Linked DNA regions of Neodiprion lecontei. The protein of the gene in region 2 interacts with the protein of the main gene of each other region in a pairwise test. Links are inferred from orthologs where the notes say so. Each region holds a gene or a part of one and is shown on either strand. Other genes may lie near its edges.

What was found. The genes of interacting proteins can lie anywhere in the genome.
Region 1: the proteins of proteasome subunit alpha type-2 (region 2) and vesicle-fusing ATPase 1 interact in binary tests that used the Caenorhabditis elegans proteins (3 or more experiments, as listed by UniProt). The link is inferred for Neodiprion lecontei from reciprocal best matches to the Caenorhabditis elegans genes pas-2 and nsf-1.

Annotation. Positions count from the first base shown.
Region 1 is NC_060263.1:39,940,372-39,948,106, reverse strand, and holds the start of vesicle-fusing ATPase 1, read right to left. Parts: upstream 6,006-7,735; 5' UTR 5,871-6,005; coding exon 5,847-5,870; intron 5,059-5,846; coding exon 4,970-5,058; intron 4,553-4,969; coding exon 4,328-4,552; intron 4,229-4,327; coding exon 3,601-4,228; intron 3,516-3,600; coding exon 3,291-3,515; intron 3,198-3,290; coding exon 2,898-3,197; intron 2,792-2,897; coding exon 2,501-2,791; intron 2,376-2,500; coding exon 2,191-2,375; intron 2,099-2,190; coding exon 1,940-2,098; intron 1,842-1,939; coding exon 1,724-1,841; 3' UTR 1-1,723. Other genes in the region: integrator complex subunit 1, read left to right, coding at 7,336-7,498, 7,677-7,735. UniProt on the Caenorhabditis elegans protein: Required for vesicle-mediated transport. Catalyzes the fusion of transport vesicles within the Golgi cisternae. Is also required for transport from the endoplasmic reticulum to the Golgi stack.
Region 2 is NC_060265.1:26,830,351-26,834,998, forward strand, and holds proteasome subunit alpha type-2, read right to left. Parts: upstream 2,708-4,648; 5' UTR 2,613-2,707; coding exon 2,572-2,612; intron 2,158-2,571; coding exon 1,825-2,157; intron 984-1,824; coding exon 653-983; 3' UTR 501-652; downstream 1-500. Other genes in the region: interleukin enhancer-binding factor 2, read left to right, coding at 2,985-2,986, 3,398-3,704, 3,821-4,127, 4,300-4,557, 4,634-4,648. UniProt on the Caenorhabditis elegans protein: The proteasome is a multicatalytic proteinase complex which is characterized by its ability to cleave peptides with Arg, Phe, Tyr, Leu, and Glu adjacent to the leaving group at neutral or slightly basic pH.

The DNA of each region.
Region 1 (7,735 bases), on a different chromosome or scaffold from region 2:
AATATTCAATATTTAAAAAATCTGGAATGATTATACGGTAAAATAATCAGTTCAAAAAATACTATGGCTGCATAGTAAGAAGGAAGTTATTGAATATTGGCAAGTCTGTATCATTAGTTTTGTACAGACTTTATCTTTTTCGTACCTTAGACTCAAATTCAATTACTGTAACCAAGGTGGTTTTGAACGTGAAAACTACATTTATAGCTTTCAAAAATATTCGAAACTGCTTTTGTTCCAGAGACAGGCGTAAAGACAAGTTGCTAAATGAATCATTTCATGTCTTCAGTCCCAATGCTATACTATTAAATTTGTTTCCGTTAACAATTGGATACGTGAATTGGAAGAAAACGGCAAAACTGAAATAGTATAGAAACTCGCTTTGCACTTTCTTATACGCCGAAAGTTCTGCTTGTAATTGACAGAAGCTTTCTGTTCACTCGAAAATACATGATCTGTACGTACATTTCAGGCACATGCGTTCTTACCGATTACACAATTTTTAAATAAGCAAAGTATCAATTCATCGAGAATATAAGGTAAAGTACAAAAAAATAATTACATAGATTACGTATTGTTCAAGTGTGAGATATTAGATACGTACAATGTCGAGAAAATCAATTTATATCAAGTTTTTCAAAAGTTTTTAATGAAGTAGCAAAAATCAACAAGTGTATAATATTAAAGAAGAAGTTTCTTTCAAGTTACTTTCCTACCAAGTTATGTTTAGGCTAATTATTACTGGAAGGTACACCGAAGAATCGATAACAATTTCGGACGATCGCTTTGAAGGTTGTAGTTAAAAGCATGTAATACAACGTACAGTACTCGAATAACTTATTCCTACAAAGACGAAGATATTTACGGTTTAAAAGTTGATGACAGAAGCAGTCTGCGTTACGGCAGTATTTTACAGAAATTCACACTACATAGATTATCAAGTCTTTTCTAACGTTCATCTATATAATATGCTTCATATATATATATTTAAATACATAATTATCATTAATATAATATATTCTCTTCAGTATATTGTCTCGCGTTTGTTGTTGTCAAACACAACAGCGAGACAATGCATAAAAATATCCTAGTCTCAAGTCCTGCGCAAGAACGAGCTATAATTAATACTTTGCTCTAGTTATGGTTAAACAATGAACAAAAAATGTAAGTTTTCAACAATTAAGATTTCCTCGGTGTTTGACAACCGACTAACGATTTCAACATTATGACTAAAATCGAGTCTAATTACAATATTTTCCATCATTGGAGGCATCGTGTAACAACAAATAGCGCAAAAAATTGATTATATCGATATACGCGATTTAATCAATCAAAATGCGATTGATAACAACAAAGTACGGGGCATCATATCAATAATTAATAAAACTTTTCAAACAATGCGTTACGCTAGCTTATGCAACACCCATGCTAACATTGGTATAAATAAATACATCTCAGTGAGAGATTACGAAATTCTCTGGAATGCTATATTACATTTTAATTATGTAGATTTCTGTGAACAGACGAACTAACGAAGGATGAGAATTCCGTGATTAGTAAATATCGTACGTCTCCGAGATTCGGATTTTATTAATAGATTAGTGCCAAGTGCTAATCTACAGAAAGCATATTAGCATGAGTTTTCATCTAAATTCGCTAATTACAATAATAATGATTTGCTTAGCCTAATAATAATTTAAATTTCTCGCCTAAGTTTACCCATCTACTCTAGGCCACCCTCCTCTTCTAACTTCGACAAGAACTTTGGCACCCTGTAATTAGCTTCTGTTTGTCTTGCCATGTCGATAAGACCCAACAACTTCTTGATACCGATGAATATGCTGTAATGATGAATCGATACAAAATTTCATTATTGTATTGTATAAATTTTTTATATGAAAATAACCATGTGCAATATAATTTATATATCTGATCTTACCGATGACCTTGGAGTTTAGCGTGCAGAGACGAAAGTTCTTCCTTTGAGAAAAGATCCGCCTCTTCCAATACAGCCAGAAGATGATCAGAAGTCGACAAGTTGGGTACATGAAGAACAGTGCTGAATGCCGACAGCATCTCCATATCTTCCATTACACCTCTACAATTTGAAATGTTAGATAGATTATTGATTATATTTAACCACCTACAATTTATTGCTACTCGTTCAGCTTGTTTTTTCAGATTTCAAACCTGCGACTCGTTGTGCATAAGATGAGCAGCTTGCGACCACGCGGAGGTTCCTTCTTTAGAAGCACCAACAGCGCTTGGAGAGTTAAATTCGAGTATCGTGGACCAATTGGACCATAATCCAGAAGCCGTTCGATGTTGTCGACCAAAATACAACTGAGTTGTGAACGATATGCGTCGTCGAAGATCTGAAATTTTATAGCAAAGGTACAACTTTTTGCAAACAACTATTTATTTTGACATCTCACAATACTTTCAATTTGAATTTGATTGGGATCCAAAATGCATGATAATATCGTGAGTAAAAATGCACCTTTCGAATGGACAGACACTTTGCAGATTCGGTGTAGCCCACCATGTCTTCCGGTGTGCAAACTTTGACGAATGGGAAGTCGGAGTTTTTCGCTATGCGTGCAGCAAGTGCAGTCTTGCCACTGTTTGGCGGTCCCTCCAATAGAACGGAAACGAGACCAGAACCTTCGGAAGCACGAGCTTGCTGAATATAAAGTGAACCGTCTGCAAGTATCTCTGCAACTGGCCGACCCCAGTTGATAATTCCACGTGTTAACAAATGATCCAACGCATCAGCGCTAGTACCAAATGCCTGTAAATTTTGTTCAACTATACAAAAAAATCCATTTTTTGCGGCAATAATTTGAACAGTGTACAGAGTACAATCAAAATTGCATGTTCTTAACGTTTTTACTCACAGGTTTGATGTCATTTTCCAACGCGTGAAGAAAATCGCTCCTGCCGACCATGAGCTTCTCCATTGCTGCAGGATCGACTTCTACCTTGCTTGACGCCTTGATTAGCCTGTTCATAGCCGTGCTCTGCGCAGCTCTTACCAAACCTTCCAATTCTGCACCACTAAAATTTTTTGTCAGAGTTGCCAGTTCTTTCAGGTCCACATCAGGTGCAATCTTCTTGTAATCTCGCATTCTGGACGTGTGAATGTTCACGATTTGATATCTACCATGTTCATTCGGCAAGCCAATTTCCATTTGAACCTGATAATGGTCAAACAAAATTTACGGTTTATGGAAAGAAGAGTGAACCTTAAAAAGTCCGCTTCTACAATCAGCAACTTGCATCCCTCTCACCTCCAATCTGCCAGGTCTCAACAGAGCCTCGTCAATCATGTCTCTCCTGTTCGTCATCCCGATGACAAGAATGTTGTTTAGCTGCTCCACACCATCAATCTTCGCAAGCAACTGGTTGACAACAGTGTCGTGAACGCCGGTATTTCCAGCGACGCTACCACGAGATTTGCAGATAGCATCGATTTCGTCAAAGATTATTATGTGCAGTCCACTGTTTGGCCCCAGCTGAAAGATTAAGTAGAATTCGTGAGGTCAAACCTGTATCTTCTATTGATTTCCTGAAAAATTGTTACAAATATGAGGAACATACCCGTTTTTCTTCGTCTTCAGCATCAGCGAACAGTCTTCGGATATTCGCTTCACTCTCACCAACGTATTTATCCAGGATCTGCGGCCCGTTAACGATCTTGGGTTCCCTCGCGTTTAACATTGTTCCTATCTGCCGAGCCATCAAAGTTTTACCGGTACCTGGCGGCCCGTATAAAAGAATTCCTTTCACGTGCTTACATCCAAGCTGCTCGACGACTTCAGGAGGAAATACTCGTGATGCAAAGGCTCGACGGAATATGGCATTGAACTCTTTGTCCAAGCCACCGATTCCCATTTTCTGGAAATCCCAGTCAGGATTGATGATCGATTGTCGAACAACTCTTCCCTTAGCTTTTCCAGTTAAATTCAAGCTCGAATTCTCAGCTTTTTCAAATTGGATCATCGTATCACCTAGGCATCGTCCCATTTTTGTCTTTCTTGGCTTTGCGTCCTGCCCTGATTTTATAGCTGCAATGTCGGCTGCCTCCAAACTTTTGATCACAAGTCCAAGCATCTTTTTATCTTGAAATTGGAATGCCAACTGCTGCCCGACTGTAAATGCTTGGCCTGAGAACTGCAGCAGAAATTCCTTCGCCATTAGTTCCGTGTCATATGGCTCCAGTGTCGTTCTGAAAAATAGTTTCATTCAATTCCATTGATTTATCCATGGTTTGCTTTTGAAAAAAGTTAAACCTAAAGCTGTAAGTTTCATTATTTCTAATACTCACGTTTTCTTTTGCAGGAAGTCGGCTTCGACGACGATTGTGCAGAGGAATTCAGAGCTCGATGTTGGGTCAAAGTGATAAGGACGAACTTCGATGTCCTGATTGAGGGACAGTGTTGCCCATTTACGTTGAGGCAAGCTGAAGCCGACTGTTCCACGAGGTATGTCATGATGGGTCTTTACCGTGAAAACGAAATGCTGATTTGGACCTGTAGTAACTTCGATGTGCCTGAGACAATACACATTGTTAAATCTTGCGAATCGAATCCGAATTAGATTACATTTGACAATTGTGGTAAAAAGAAGGTGTAGTGAGATTGTACTTCGTTTGCGGACAATTCAAATATCCTGATTAATGACAGAACCATTGCTAGAAATGAGGGATTGACAATAAACTATTTGGTTTATAGATCATCAGCAAAACAGAGGAAATGAAGAAAGTGAAACGAGTTTCAGAAAATTTTGGATCTTCAGTTGTACTGCCATGTATCAAGTTTTTTTCAATACAATTCCAAACAAACTTGATTTTTCAAAAAATAATTAAGTAATAATTAAAACTTCATTGTTATTACTACACCAGCTTTCTTTGATTGCTGTAATAATTAATTCAAGCATAATTTAAGCAAATCGTAGGCAAACTACTCACTTTATATCATCTGGAAAATCATCACGATTTATCACAGCACAGTTGGAGAGGCTGAGCTCGTCGGTAGGACACTTGATCGCTTTCATTATCTATGAAAAATGTAATATTGTTAGTAACAATAAATCAGACAAAATAAACGAGAAGCTATGGCCAAGGTTATAAAATTCAAGTTGAAATCGCTGAGCGACAGTGAACTTAGGTAAAGATTAGATAAGATTTAATGATGAAAGTAAAATTGATTGGGTTCAGAATTCGCAGAACATTGATTTTATATGTACACCCACAAGTTTGGGAATTTTAAATAGAAATTATGCCAGCTGGTCGGACAGTTTGAGTAGCTATTTATAAATATTCTAAAATACATGTCACACACTGTCAAACTGATTCAAATAAATAATATTTGGCGGTGAGGAAATGGTATAACGATATAAGAGTCACTTGGTGCATTGCACATGGTTCATTTATTTGACTGAAATTCGACTAGTAAGTATATTTAAGCAAATATCGTCACGAGGCGTGACTGCAGGTGAGGAAAGGATGAATTAGATGTGATAAACGTCATTTTTACTAATCAGAAAAAAAGATTAAACAGAAAACCTTTTTTGTCGCGCGCGATAGTTACGGAATCAGGCTTCAAATACGAAGGTGATTTTCGAAGAAATTATTTATCCGGGAATGAACTAATAGCTCAATAAATTCAACGTGACATAAGCTGCGACTGTAATCAGGATTATTGACGTTTCAGTTGCGCCGAAGGGGCGTGCGTTATTTTGTGCAGCAAACGCTCGTAGGATTTATGATCGCAAGTATGATGTTCCTTTGTGTTCGTAATTCAGCGATTTAACGTGTAATTAACAGATCTTAAGCAACAACTTACCATGCCCGGCATACTTTTTGACATAAATACGATAAACTTAGGCTCCTGCTTCTATAGAACCCGCAATGCAGACAGTTCTGTTCTCTTTTTTTTTCCCTTCCCAGCAATCTGAATGCGATCAAGCTTCGAACTGAAGAGAGTATCTAGAAGGAGAATCAGTGATCACGTCAGCATGCTGGGCCACCATAAAACTGTAACTAGAGAGAACAGCCTGCGCGAGTCGCTTGCGTCCCGTGAGTGTTGGCGCTCTCTCATATCATTCGTTTCATAGAGCCAAAGAGCCTGAAAGAGCCTGAGAACCATAGACTTTTATGATGAGAACCCGTTACAGGGTGCATTTTCACGGGCAGTAAATTAATGCCATCGCAGCTAGCAGCGCCACGCTGCTACAGAAAGTGAAGAGCTTTCCGTGAAAATGTATCGGCAGCGGCAATAAAACGCTGCCCGACAAGCGCAGCCGTGAACTGATCACATGGTTTATCAGTGAATCTCATTTGTGTTGATATTCGCTTGCAATTCGTGAGTTCCGTAGTTCCGACCCGTGGTTCCGATGGTGCCAATTAGCCTTCTCTTACGCGTTTTTTTGTGATACCCGGCAACAATAACATCCTTCTGAACACGTCAGAACTACGGGTCGGAATTATAGGACTTATGAATTGCAAGCGAATATCAAAGGAAATGAGATCCACTGATAAACTACCCGATCAACTAAAGGCTGCGCTTGTCGGGCGGCGTTGTGCTGCCCCTGTCGACACATTTTCACGGGAAGTTTTTCGCTTCGTTGCGTTGCTCGCTACCGCGGCGTTTTACTGCCTGTGAAAATGCACCCGCATACAGCATTGCATACACACTGCACTACTGCAGTCGTCAAGAAATTCGCTTAATTCAGTTGTGTTGCACCCAGTCGCACCGCAGACGCTACAACTGTTTTCGAGTGATTTGAACTCCAAAAATGAGGAAGGGAAAATCAAAAGTATTTTGATGTAATATTTAAGTGAAAACTCCAATTAGAAAATATATTGAGAAGAACAGTGGTAGCATGGAAGCTTCTTCATCGTTCAAAAAATTAAACACGTTGTCTTCCTGTTAAATTATGTGTCAAACGGCTTTTCTTTCTCCGTATAGGTTAGGTTGAGATGCGGCGAGAATTTCAATCGCAGATTGCGAACTCCGTTCTTCGGTAAACCATATTTAATGATATGTGTATCACGTTTCTGATTACTCTCAAATTTTATGCAGTTCCTTGCTGCATAAAGTTATAACTGCTTCAAAATTGTGTTCTATTTTCCTGTTTCTCCTGCTTAATCTCATTACATTCTTACCAATTTTACATTCTTAACAAGCGCCATAAACATTGTCTTATATACATTTGTATAATTGAATGGTTTAATATAATTTATTTCATTAAAATAGATGTGCATCTATATCTAGATACAACTATCGATCAAGAGCATAAATAGTTTATGCGTTGCATAAAACGTAGGAGCAAATGGATCGCGTAAAGACTGGAACAGGCCGTGGGGCCAAGAGCAAAATAGCTCAGCATCCCGCAGACTTGTTTGCTCTTGGATCAAAAAGTTCCAGAGGTGAAGCTACAGATTCCAAGCGACCTGGTGTGATCCATGGGAAGCCAGGCCCGAGTTCTACCTCAAGTACGACTTTTTTCAGTGCTACTAAAATTTACACTTCTTAGCTTTCTTCAATACTCTCAATGCTCAAGATAGCTTGTGTTTTTAAAATAAGATTGGTGGAATGAATTTGCAAAGACTTCTGGATCGTAAATTAGCTAGTCAAGTGGTGCATCGTTTACATTGGAGTATTTTCGTGCAGGTTCAGATCGTAAGAAGGAAGCTCCACCGGGATCATTGCAGTCACTTATTCCTCAGAAA
Region 2 (4,648 bases):
GAAACTTCATCTCGCGAATATTACGTTTCGAGGAGAGCTCTTAGATATTCCGATTCAATATTGAACAGCGAAGTGCACACGCAGAGCGTCATTGCCTTGTTAATTTTTGCCGCAGTTCACACGAGTTCTTTGACCGCCACTTACGAATCAGGTATTCCAGAATTTAAATGACTGAATAAAAAAATGAAAAAGAAACACGGAAACGAAACCAACAGGTCTTTACCTAATCTCACGCGAAATTAAACGCGAGAGCGTCAGAGATAGCAATCGTCTAACACGCGTGGCGAAATGCCACAACTTAAATTTTTACACTAAATTTGACTGTATTTATTCAACTTCGTTAATTGCAAATTCGATAACAGAGTGTCGTCGGTTTGAAAAAAGAAGAGGCTGAAAATAGGAAGAACACATCATTTCAAACAAATCTGCTTCGTGGTAAGATGCCTAAAACATTAAAAGATATATACACTGTTCAATCAAATTAATATAAAAGGCATACGTAAGAAATCCACTAGCGATTTTTTATTCATTTTTTTTTTTTTGTTTATTTCAAGAAATTTTTTTATTCGCGAGCACATTCGTATTGCCGACTCAATTAATGGATATTACAATACAAACAAAAAAAAAAAGTAAACGTAGATAGAATAAAAAATTAGGGGATGTTCGCAAGGTAGTCCTTGACATTGGACGGATGGAGTCTCCTGAATCCATTGGCGTCACAAATGCCGACTTCAATATTGTCCGCGGTCATTTGCCCCTCAAATCCTTCCTTCAAAGTCAGAATAGCGGTATGAACGGCGTCGTCGAGCTCCAGATCTTCGCTGTATCTCTTCTCCAGGAATGTTTTACCGTTGATGTGATTCTTTCCCATCGCGGTTGCCTTCCAGGCGTAATAAGCACCCGACGGATCGCACTGGAACAGGTACGGCTTGTCGTTGTCCCAGCCGCAGATCAGCAGAGAAACACCGAACGGACGTACACCTCTGCACAGACATTATTTAATCAGTTCCAAAATGTGACTATGCATGTGTTACGTACTCCGCACTATTTCACAGTTCTATTTCACTCATACATCGACTTTCATCCCTCCTACCTAATAGTCGCTCCATTTTGCCAAACAATACAAGCCTTGCACACCCTGTACACACCCGATTACCGCTTCTTATTCCCGGAACCTTGATCCTACACACCCCGCTTTTTGCACACACCCATACTTTGTTTTATTCATTTCTCGATGCAATCCTGGTCCGTCTTTCATACGATATTCTGACTTTACCTTTCGAATCGGACACATGTTCGATAAATCATAAGGCATATTCCAACATCAGCACACCAGACTCGTTCATTTAAATCCCTCACCTAAACTTTCCGGTTGTTCTTAATCATAAAAGTGAAGCGGAACCTCGTCTATTCTGTGCTACTCGAAAATAGATAACGCGTAAATCATTACACGTGGTTCCTTTTAAATCTTTGTGAAGCAATTTTCTTCGACTTGTCTTATGCCCTTCGATTGACAAATGTCAAACAATGAATCTATTATGGAAATTTCCAACGAGAACCATTTTACGACAAACTCTTTCAGATTTCAACAATTCTTTCCATAAATATACTTTTCTCACACATCTGCTTGCTAAAACCTTGTATCTAAATTTGGTAATGTCTACTTTTCATGGTTTATAACGTTGATACCAAACATCAAGTCAAAAACAGCATATAAAATTCATTCAAAACCGTTTAAATTGCATGAGGTCATAGTAAATATCAGCTGGAAATTATAGTCAAGTTTCGGCTAATTATATGAAATCATGAAAACTCTGATCTTACCCTGACTGCGTGTACTCCTGCATGAGCATCGCTACTCGTTGAACGAGTTGCGCAGTTGGAATTGGTTCCTGGTACACTAGCAAGTACTGCTGGGCGATTTTGCGAGCTTGCTTCACAAGTAGACGATAGTCAGGCCCCATTCCACTATATATCATCCCAATATGCTTGGTAACCATTTCAACCTTGTTAACACTGTGTTCGTCATAGAGTATCGATTTGTGCTTGTTTTCAGTGGCAAGAACAACTCCGTTGGATGCCTTGATGCCAACCGAAGGCGCCCCAGCTGATACTGCAGCCAATGCATACTCGATCTGCACCAGCTTGCCCGACGGGCTGTAAGTATAAAATAAAAATGTAAAATTTTGAAATGATGGTGAAGAATAATGAGGTTTTATAGTCGACGCAATCAAATTTGAGCCTTAAACGATGTAGAGTAACAATGACAGGACAAAAAGTGGAGATTCTTTGATCAAAACATGGGATGCAATAAAGCTCACTCCAAGTTTCCATGGAGATTGAGACAGAAATTTGAAACAAGTTTGATATTGCTTAGGTGAGAATAAAGTTTCAGACTCGTTTGACACGAAACTTTTTCGATTCTTGACGTGGTTTTTAGGTTAGGACCGAGTTGACGGACTTTCAAACTGCTGGCTAAGATAAAATTTTGAATATTTTTCCAGAAACGGTTAGACTGATTGATTGAAGGTCGCAAGAATACAGGAAATACGTTAAATTCCCTGTTCTTACCTGAACGTAGTCAGCGAAAAACTGTACCGCTCCGAAGCCATGATTACCTTGCAACAATACACTAACCTGAAGCTCGAACGGCTGAAACTGGAGAGTTTCGACTTTCAAGTTAACGATCTCGAACGTAGAATCCAAGATGGCGACACGAATCGCGGCACACTCGCGCTCTCGCGCCTCTCGCGGTTGACTTCAGATGAAACGCCATCAGGATCGTTAAACCGGCTAAGCACGGCTAAGCACACGCTGAGGACTAAGGTCGGCTATTGCTCAAATAAATTATCCAGGGTAAGTTATTATTGAATAAATACCGCGATAAATACTCGATTAGAAGAATAAATAACAGCTCATCTCACTCCGAGTAACGAAATACCGGAATACGATTTGTTTTCAGGGTGATCCTGGATCTTCCAGCAATGTAAGTCTGCTATGCTTGGTTAGGTTCTTCGTTCAATGTTCATTCGCACCTTAGAGCATATACTACTGGAGGTAGCTTTGCGTGTACAGAAAGTCTAGCCGAGGAGTGAGTGAGAGAGAAAACGAGAGGTATATTTTCGTTATAATTGGTTTCTCTCTCGCTCAACACGCGATTGGCCAATACGTAGTCCAAACATTACCCTGATTAGAATCGTGCGAGCTCTGAACGATTGTGAAATTAAACCTTAAAAGAGCACATCAGCACATTTCTTTTATTTCATCTATCTCTCGTATTGCCGTCAAGCATCAATCGAGCCAGAAATCACGTCCCACCAATTTTTAATATCTTGTGAACTATGCATCGACTCCAGAAATGATTAAACGATGCATTCGATTTGTTCTGACATTGCAGGCTTAATATGGTTCGAGGTGCTCGCGGCGGCATGATAAGAGGTGGTCGAGGAGGAATGGGGCGTGGAATGGGATTTCCTAGGAAACAGTTCCTGCCCAGACATCCCTTTGATTACACCCTTTGCGAGGCTGCGTTTCCTCGTGTCAAGGCAGCTGCGGATGAGGCTGACTTTACTACGGCACTTCTGAAGAAAAATTCAGATATGTGTCCGACAGCGAAAGAGCAGAATTCCATCTTGAACCTCGTTACGAAGCTACAAGGAGTTCTGGATAATCTAATCGTTGCACCTGGAACCTTCGAAGCTTGTGTGGGTATACAGCAAATTTAAAATGGCTGTAAATACAGTTAAAGCTATGTTTTTCTTTTTTTTTTCGAGTGAAACGAAAATGAGAAGGAACATTGATGGATTCGTTTCATTTACAGCAACTCGAGGAAGTCAGACAAGTGGGGAGCTTCAAAAAAGGGACAATGATCAAGGGTCACAATGTAGCAGACATCGTTGTTATCCTCAAAACATTACCTACAAAAACAGCGGTTGAAGCGCTGGGCACGAAAGTAAACACAGACTTGAAGGCGGGCAATCCTAAAGAGGCGTTTAAGCTGACTCAAACGGAACGTGGATTTGATCTTTCAACTAATGAGGCCACTGTTCGTGTCCTCATCACTACTTTGCATCAAAACTTACGTAAATTGGAATCTGAGCAGCATCTTGACGTTAAAATCTGCCAAGGTATTTACCGACATTGTGTTGCACCCGGATCGTTTGACTTTTTGATAAAATTTCACAAGAAAAAATTCAGATAGTTACCAAAGCTTAAAAACCTATTCAAGTTTTATTTTCAATTCGCAAAATAGTATCAACCTTGTTTCAACATGTTTCAATTTTTTTTTTTTTTTTACAGGGCACCTAGCAGCTATCAGACACTCTCGATGGTTCGAAGAAAATGCCCATCACTCGAGTATCAAAGTACTGATCAGATTGCTGAGAGACTTGAGGACCAGATTCGAGGGTTTCGAACCCCTGTCACCATGGATGCTAGATCTTCTGGCACATAATGCAATCATGAATAATCCCAGCAGACAAGCACTGCCGATAAATCAAGCCTACAAGCGAGTGCTCCAGCTCCTCGCTTCAGGGTTATTTTTGCCTGGGTCAGCCGGTGAGTTGTTTCTAATCGACAAAATGTTGACCGCAACGACTGAAAGTTAAATTTTAACTGATTATTTTATCTCAAGGAATTTCCGATCCCT